Canis lupus familiaris: one gene and its partner. The protein of the gene in region 1 purifies or fractionates together with the protein of each later gene. This does not show direct contact. Links are inferred from orthologs where the notes say so. Each region holds a gene or a part of one and is shown on either strand. Other genes may lie near its edges.

Region 1 (3,378 bases):
GCACACCTTTTCCTTGCTCCTCCAGAGGGGATGGCGTAGAGTTGGGCCTTGTAAGTGATGACTAAAATTTCTTCACTTTGACCTGATGGCTGTTGAAGAAAACTGACGTCTGAGGCCCATGGTGCCCAGGGACTCTTGTGCTTTCTGTACAGCTGTTTACTTCCGCTCATAGTGTTCTCTGACCCTCACAGATCGACCCTGTACTTGGGACCGTTGGCTTTGGGTCTGGACTCCACGGTTGGGCCTTTACCTTGAAGCAGTTTGCAGAGATGTATGTGGCCAAATTTGCTGCCAAGGGCGAGGGCCAGCTGGGGCCTGCTGAGCGGGCCAAGAAAGTGGAGGACATGATGAAGAAGCTGTGGGGTGACCGGTGAGTACTGGGGGAGGTGCAGGGCACTCTGGTACCTGTGTGCCGGGGCAGGGACCTGCCTGCAGTGGTGGGAACATGACTAAGGGCCACCAAACGTCTGTAGGGTCCTTCTGCCCAGCTTGGTTTCCTCACTCACTTGGGTCTCCTGTTTCTCCAACCCATCTACCATCGTTGAGTTGGTGAAATACTCCTGTACTCCTCTGCCAGGTATTTTGATCCAGCCAACGGCAAATTCAGCAAGTCAGCCACCAGCCCTGACGGCAAGAAGCTACCGCGGACGTTTTGCCAGCTCATCTTGGACCCTATTTTCAAGGTGAGCTGCTGAGTGTGCTTCATGGATGTGCGTCCCCTGGGCTGTCCTTGGGCCTGGTGGCTCCCGGAGGATCTGTTACCTGACCTAACTGGCTGGGCAGAGCTGGGTTGACAGGTGGGTGCTGGAGGAGGGTGAGGTTTGCCTGGTAGGAAGCAGCTGCACATTTCCAGTAACATTCCTGAACCCATCTTCCTGTTTTTTTTTTTTTTTTTTTTTTTTTTTTTTTTTTTTTTAAATTTTTATTTATTTATGATAGTCACAGAGAGAGAGAGAGAGAGAGAGAGGCAGAGACACAGGCAGAGGGAGAAGCAGGCTCCATGCACCGGGAGCCCGATGTGGGATTCGATCCCGGGTCTCCAGGATCGCGCCCTGGGCCAAAGGCAGGCACCAAACCGCTGCGCCACCCAGGGATCCCCCATCTTCCTGTTTTTGTGACTTGTCAGGTGTTTGATGCGATCATGAATTTCAAGAAAGAGGAGACCGCAAAGCTGATTGAAAAGCTGGACATCAAGCTGGACAGTGAAGACAAAGATAAGGAAGGCAAACCACTTCTGAAGGTGAATGCGGATGTGCCTCTTGGGGTGGGCCTACCAGCTTTGCACTGACTGGAGCTCTTTGTCATATCTTCCAGTCATGTCCCCATCACCAACAGGGTGGTCAGGGGATCTGTGTTGTTGGCACCTCCCCAGGAGGGGCAGCTCAGAATCTAAGTGCCTCTCACCAGGACCTTGGGCATGGCATTCTGAGGGCTTTGGGCCTTGCTTGACCTCCCTGTCTTCTCCTGTAGGCTGTGATGCGCCGCTGGCTACCTGCCGGGGATGCTTTGCTGCAGATGATCACCATCCATCTGCCTTCCCCTGTGACAGCCCAGAAATACCGCTGTGAGCTCTTGTATGAGGGCCCCCCAGACGACGAGGCAGCCATGGGTATGTGAGGATCACCTGCGTCCTGGGGTTAGATTGTTGGGCAGAGGCCTAAGTATTTTTGTGGCTGTGGTCAGGTGGTGATGCTCATTGGCAAGTCCAGGTCACAGGGTTCTGTGAGGGTGAGCTCTGAGGGAATCACATGTTTTGTTTTGGGAATTCCTCTTCACAGGCATTAAAAGCTGTGACCCCAAAGGCCCTCTCATGATGTACATTTCTAAAATGGTGCCAACCTCCGACAAAGGTCGGTTCTACGCCTTTGGTCGTGTATTCTCGGGGCTGGTGTCCACTGGCCTGAAAGTCAGGATCATGGGGCCCAACTACACCCCTGGGAAGAAGGAGGACCTGTACCTGAAGCCCATCCAGAGGTGAGGTGCCCAGCAGCTCCTGGGTACGTCCCAGTCTGGTCCATATCCAAGATTATCTCTTTCCACAGGGAGGGTGACAAGACATAATGTGGTCCAGAGAAGGGTGGAGGACCCTTGAAGCTGAGGGAGGGAGTGATTTGTCTGGGTGAGGCGCACTGCGCTAGTTCTGACTTGGACAGACCTGGCCCTAAGGTCAGGGTGGTGGCACGCATCTGCAGAGCCGTCTCGAGAGGCTAGTGGTAGTCACCATTCCCTGGCTCCTGGTGTGGGTAGTGGGAAGAGTGAACTTCCATCTCTCCAGCTTCTTGCAGCCCTGATTTTCATTGGTTCTCAGGTTCCCGTGACAGTCCTATCAGTGCTAGGTTGGGTGTGGAGCCCTACATAGGGGAGTCGGGGAGGAGCAGGTGGCTTCTGCTTTGGGGTAAGAGAGCTGGGACTTATTGTCACAGGAACTGGGCTGATAAGGTGAAACTAGGGCTAGGGCCTGAGGCTCTGGGAGTTGGGTTCACATCAGCATTTCAGGTGGATGGGATGGCCACAGGCTTTAGAAGGAAGGGGTGTTTTGGGGTCATTTCGGGATCTGGAGGGTTTTTTTTGTCTTCCCTAGAACAATCCTGATGATGGGCCGTTATGTTGAGCCTATTGAAGATGTGCCTTGTGGGAACATTGTGGGTCTAGTGGGAGTGGACCAGTTCCTGGTGAAGACTGGCACCATCACCACCTTTGAGCATGCCCACAACATGAGGGTGATGAAGTTCAGCGTGAGCCCCGTTGTCCGGGTTGCTGTGGAGGCAAAGAATCCAGCTGACCTTCCCAAGCTAGTGGAGGGTCTGAAACGGCTGGCCAAGTCGGACCCCATGGTGCAGGTAGGTGGGTGCCCTGGCAGATGGGAACACCGCGGTGCAAGTGGTTAATTTGTGGCTTACATAGGGCTTGTCACAGATTTACGGATATTCAAATCTTGGAAAGTCTGGTGTGTGCTGAGCATACACTTTCCCTGGCAGAGCTACTGTGTGACAAGGTGGTGGCTTTTTTCTGAGAAATCTAGTTAATTCTTTGTATACCAGTTCTATTTTTATGGTTTGGCTGTGGAGCAGATTGTGAGGTTAACGAGAATAGCAAAAACACAGCTCTTGCTGCCTTTTACGAGCCCTGAGTTGCCACAAAACCCATTTCTGGTGGGTCTGGTCTTCTCTATCTGGAGGGAAACCTGGAGCTTTATACCTGTTCCTAGAATTTATTGGGGTCTCTGAGTGTCTTGGGGTCCGTGCCCAGAGCCTAACTCCTGGCCCATTGCAGTGCATCATTGAGGAGTCCGGGGAGCACATCATCGCGGGGGCTGGGGAGCTGCACCTGGAGATCTGTCTGAAGGACCTGGAGGAGGACCATGCGTGCATTCCCATC
Region 2 (4,295 bases), on another chromosome or scaffold:
AATTTATTTTGCACATGCCACAGAACTCGCTTAGCACTGGACACATAGTAGGTTTCAAGCATTTGTTAACAGATTGGCTGGAGGAGTTGCAGTGATGTTCCACACATGGAAGAGACATACTGATATAGTAACTAGCTCATTAAAAATAAAAGTTCCTTCTTGAAAGTATTTCTCAGTCTGCCCTGATTGCCAACCAAAAAGGCCTCATCCGGTTTCGCCCTAAATTTATGCTCAAATGGAGTTAAAATCCATTTAACAGAAAATGAACTAATTTATTTAAATGGGCTAGGCCACCTTTAAGAAGCAGTGATTCGCAGCAAGTGTTGGGGATAGGAAATTGGGTGGATAAGCTTGCTGAAGCCGTAGATCTTAGTTTCTACTTGAGATCATGCGGAAAGACTGAATTTGAAAAATTCTTTTTAGGTTGCTCATGCTAGCAATCAAATGAGTGTACACTGTAGAAAAAATGTACCACGAGAGTAGACACACATAGGGTCTTTCTATAACGTAATGAAACTAGAGTTAAAAGGCAGACTGTGGGATTGAAATCTATTCTGAACTGAAGAACTAGACGTCTGGAGTACCATATGGGGTGAACGTGTGACTCGGGCTTCGGTAAAAGCAGCGGGCTCGGACTGGAACAAGCCAAAAGGCTAGCCCAAGAGCACATTCGTCCGGGTCACGGCCACCGAGTTGAAACCCTTGCGGATTCTCCGGCTGTGAAGGCGGCCCCTCGGGTCCCTCGCTGCCCTGGGAGCCCGGGCCTTGTACTCTCCAGCCCCGAGAGGAAGAGAAGGCAGGGGCGAGGGAGGAGCCAGCCCAGGGCGGACCTGCGACGAGCGGAGGAAGCGGCTCAAAGGGGCAGTCCTGGACCTTGGAGAGGACCAGGTTAAGAACTGGAGGTATACTGCGGAGGGAAGGCGTACTCCAATCGCCACACCATCTTTGCAGTTAAACCAGGAACCGTAGAGGGCAGATTCAGTACTTCCCCGCAGGGCCGCCTCCTCGCCCCCCCGCCCGCCCCTTCAGCTGGAGCTGAGAGTAATTCATACAAAGGAGGACTCGCTTCAGCCTCGGGGAATCCCAGGGACCGTCGTTAAACTCTCACTAACATAGAACGAGCGGAAAGCTCGTCCCCGCCTCCCCACCCACTCACTCTCGCCGTCATCGGGGTCAAGAGGAGCATGCGCGAGGAGATGTGCGCTCTTTAGTGGGCTGAGCGCACATCGCCCACGGTCCCCGAGCAGTAGGGGGAGGGGATGGCGACCGAACCGGTGCCTGATGGAGTTGGCGCGGGGTAAACTGGGAAAGTGGTGTCGTGTGCTGGCTCCGCCCTCTTCCCCGAGGGTGGGGGAGGACCGTATATAAGTGCCGTAGCCGCCTTGAACGTTCTTTTTCGCAACGGGTTTGCCGCCAGAACACAGGTGAGTGCCGGGTGTGGCTCCCGCGGGCCTGGCCTCTTTGAGCTGCCAGCGGCCCTCGCGTGCCTTTTACAACGGCCGCGCCACCGAGCCACTTTACGATGTTCTTGACCCCGAATTTCGGATTGTGAGTGGGTGGGAAGGTTCCAGGCCTTGCGCCTTTTTTTAGGACCCCTTTTGCCTCGTGGTTGGTTTGAGGCCTGGCTTGGGTGTTGTGGCGGCCGCGTGCGAATTCCGCCGCACCTTCTTGCCTGCCCTCGTACAGTGGTTTAAGCCTCCAGACGTTTGACCTACCAAAAGAAGGCCGCTATGGTTTTCTCCGTCGAGATGGTTGAGCGGAGGTTGGTCAGGACTTGAACGGGGTGGGCTTTTCCGCGGTCGTCGCGTTCTTGGGGTGTGGGGCCGCCGCGAGGCGCGGAGGGCGGCGACGAGGCCCGCTCGTCCCGGCGCACATGTCCGACGAGGCGGGGAAGGCCCACGAGCCGTGGGCGCCGCGTCGGACGCGGGAGAGTCCCGTGGAGTGGGCCGGGCGGCTCTGGTGCCGGGCCTCGCGCCGCGATGTACCGTCCTACGCCGGGCGGAGAGGCCGGCCCGCTCGGCACCAGTTGCGTGCGCGGAAAGATGGCCGCTCTCCGGCCCTGCTGCAGGCAGCTCAAAATGGAGGACGCGGCGGCCCGGGAGAGCGGGCGGGTGAGTCACCCACACAAAGGAAAAGGGCCTTTCCCTGTTAGGCCGCTGCTTCCTGTGACCCTACGGTGTACCGAACGCCGTCTTGGCACCTCCATTCCGCCTCAACGCCTTACAAGCAGGCCTTCCCCGGAGGGGGGAGGGGATTTTATGCGGTGGAGTTAACCCCACGCTTGGTGGGTGGAGACGAGAGTTGGGCCAGCTTGGCCCTGGTTGTAATTCTTGGAATTTGGTCTCTGCGAGTTTGGTCGTGGCTTATTTTCAAGCCTCCGGGACAGTAGTTAAAAGGGTTTGTTCCTACCCTAAAATTTAGGTGTCGTGAAAACCACCGCTAAACCTAAACCAAAATGGGAAAGGAGAAGACTCACATCAACATCGTCGTCATTGGACACGTAGATTCGGGCAAGTCTACCACTACTGGCCATCTGATCTACAAATGTGGTGGGATCGACAAAAGAACTATCGAAAAATTTGAGAAGGAGGCTGCTGAGGTTGGTATACTAACTTAATGAGAGATCGTTAAAAAAAAGTCGGCCAGTGTCAACTTCCCCAAAACTAGTTACTAGTCTATCAGAATCTGCTGCTTGTGGTAGATTGTTTGTGCTTGCTGAAGAGTTTTTTATCTATGTAACTTTGGGAGATAGAACTACCTAACTGTAAAGTGGAATCCGCATTTCTGCTTAAGCAGGAGTTAGGGATTTCAAGTTGGAAGTTTGTGTTTAAGTTACCAAGTAACCATTCTTAATCCTTACAGATGGGAAAAGGCTCCTTCAAGTATGCCTGGGTCTTGGATAAACTGAAAGCTGAACGTGAACGTGGTATCACCATTGATATCTCCCTGTGGAAATTCGAGACCAGCAAGTATTACGTGACCATCATTGATGCCCCAGGACACAGAGACTTTATCAAAAACATGATTACAGGCACATCTCAGGTTTGTAGGATTACTTGAAAATAACTGTAGGCTTGGGTTTTGTATGGGAAAAAAGGGGGAGTTCATCTTTTTGAGGAACATTTATTTAACAGGATGTCTTTTTGTCTTTTAAAGGCTGACTGTGCTGTCCTGATTGTTGCTGCTGGTGTTGGTGAATTTGAAGCAGGTATCTCCAAGAATGGGCAGACCCGTGAGCATGCCCTTCTGGCTTACACACTGGGTGTAAAACAACTAATTGTTGGTGTTAACAAAATGGATTCCACTGAACCACCCTACAGCCAGAAGAGATACGAGGAAATCGTTAAAGAAGTCAGCACCTACATTAAGAAAATTGGCTACAACCCCGACACAGTAGCATTTGTGCCAATTTCTGGTTGGAATGGTGACAACATGCTGGAGCCAAGTGCTAACGTAAGTGACTTCAAGGCTTTGAGGAAGTGATAGAAGAGGCATATGTTGACACTAAATGACAACAGTTTGGGGAATGCTAATGGACAATCTTGTTTTTTTAGATGCCTTGGTTCAAGGGATGGAAAGTCACCCGTAAAGATGGGAATGCCAGCGGAACCACACTGCTTGAAGCCCTGGATTGCATTCTGCCACCAACTCGTCCAACTGATAAGCCCTTGCGTCTGCCTCTCCAAGACGTCTACAAAATTGGTGGTAAGTTGAACATTGCCATTTAAAAATACGATTTATGGATTGTTCTTCACAGAAGGTATCTGACACGATGCTTCTAAATATTTTAGGTATTGGTACTGTCCCAGTGGGTCGAGTGGAGACTGGTGTTCTTAAGCCTGGTATGGTGGTCACCTTTGCTCCAGTCAATGTTACAACTGAAGTAAAGTCTGTTGAAATGCACCATGAAGCTTTGAGTGAGGCTCTTCCTGGGGACAATGTGGGCTTCAATGTCAAGAACGTATCTGTCAAAGATGTTCGTCGTGGCAATGTGGCTGGTGACAGCAAAAATGACCCACCAATGGAAGCAGCTGGCTTCACAGCTCAGGTAACACACTTAAGAGTGGCAATGTTCTCTTTGCTAGATCCTGTTTGAAATGTATTAAATGCAATTTTTTCCTCCAAGGTGATTATCCTGAACCATCCAGGCCAAATCAGTGCTGGATATGCACCTGTGCTGGATTGTCACACAGCTCACATTGCCTGCAAGTTTGCTGAGCTGAAGGAAAAGATAGATCGTCGTTCTGGAAAGAAGCTGGAAGATGGTCCCAAGTTCTTGAAATCTGGGGATGCTG

What was found.
Region 2: the proteins of EEF2 (region 1) and EEF1A1 fractionate together in Homo sapiens (co-fractionation; 3 studies listed by BioGRID). This does not show direct contact. The link is inferred for Canis lupus familiaris from reciprocal best matches to the Homo sapiens genes EEF2 and EEF1A1.

Annotation. Positions count from the first base shown.
Region 1 is NC_049241.1:55,976,975-55,980,352, forward strand, and holds part of EEF2 (elongation factor 2), read left to right. Parts: intron 1-50; exon of another isoform or gene 51-115; intron 116-191; coding exon 192-370; intron 371-577; coding exon 578-683; intron 684-1,126; coding exon 1,127-1,240; intron 1,241-1,470; coding exon 1,471-1,609; intron 1,610-1,778; coding exon 1,779-1,974; intron 1,975-2,581; coding exon 2,582-2,840; intron 2,841-3,273; coding exon 3,274-3,378. UniProt on the Homo sapiens protein: Catalyzes the GTP-dependent ribosomal translocation step during translation elongation.
Region 2 is NC_049233.1:35,820,472-35,824,766, reverse strand, and holds the start of EEF1A1 (elongation factor 1-alpha 1), read left to right. Parts: upstream 1-1,487; intron 1,488-1,602; coding exon of another isoform or gene 1,603-1,711; intron 1,712-1,774; coding exon of another isoform or gene 1,775-1,875; intron 1,876-2,421; 5' UTR 2,422-2,455; coding exon 2,456-2,599; intron 2,600-2,862; coding exon 2,863-3,042; intron 3,043-3,156; coding exon 3,157-3,453; intron 3,454-3,554; coding exon 3,555-3,705; intron 3,706-3,791; coding exon 3,792-4,048; intron 4,049-4,126; coding exon 4,127-4,295. Other genes in the region: uncharacterized protein LOC119874198, read right to left, coding at 585-830, 1,157-1,487, 1,603-1,711, 1,775-1,875. UniProt on the Homo sapiens protein: Translation elongation factor that catalyzes the GTP-dependent binding of aminoacyl-tRNA (aa-tRNA) to the A-site of ribosomes during the elongation phase of protein synthesis.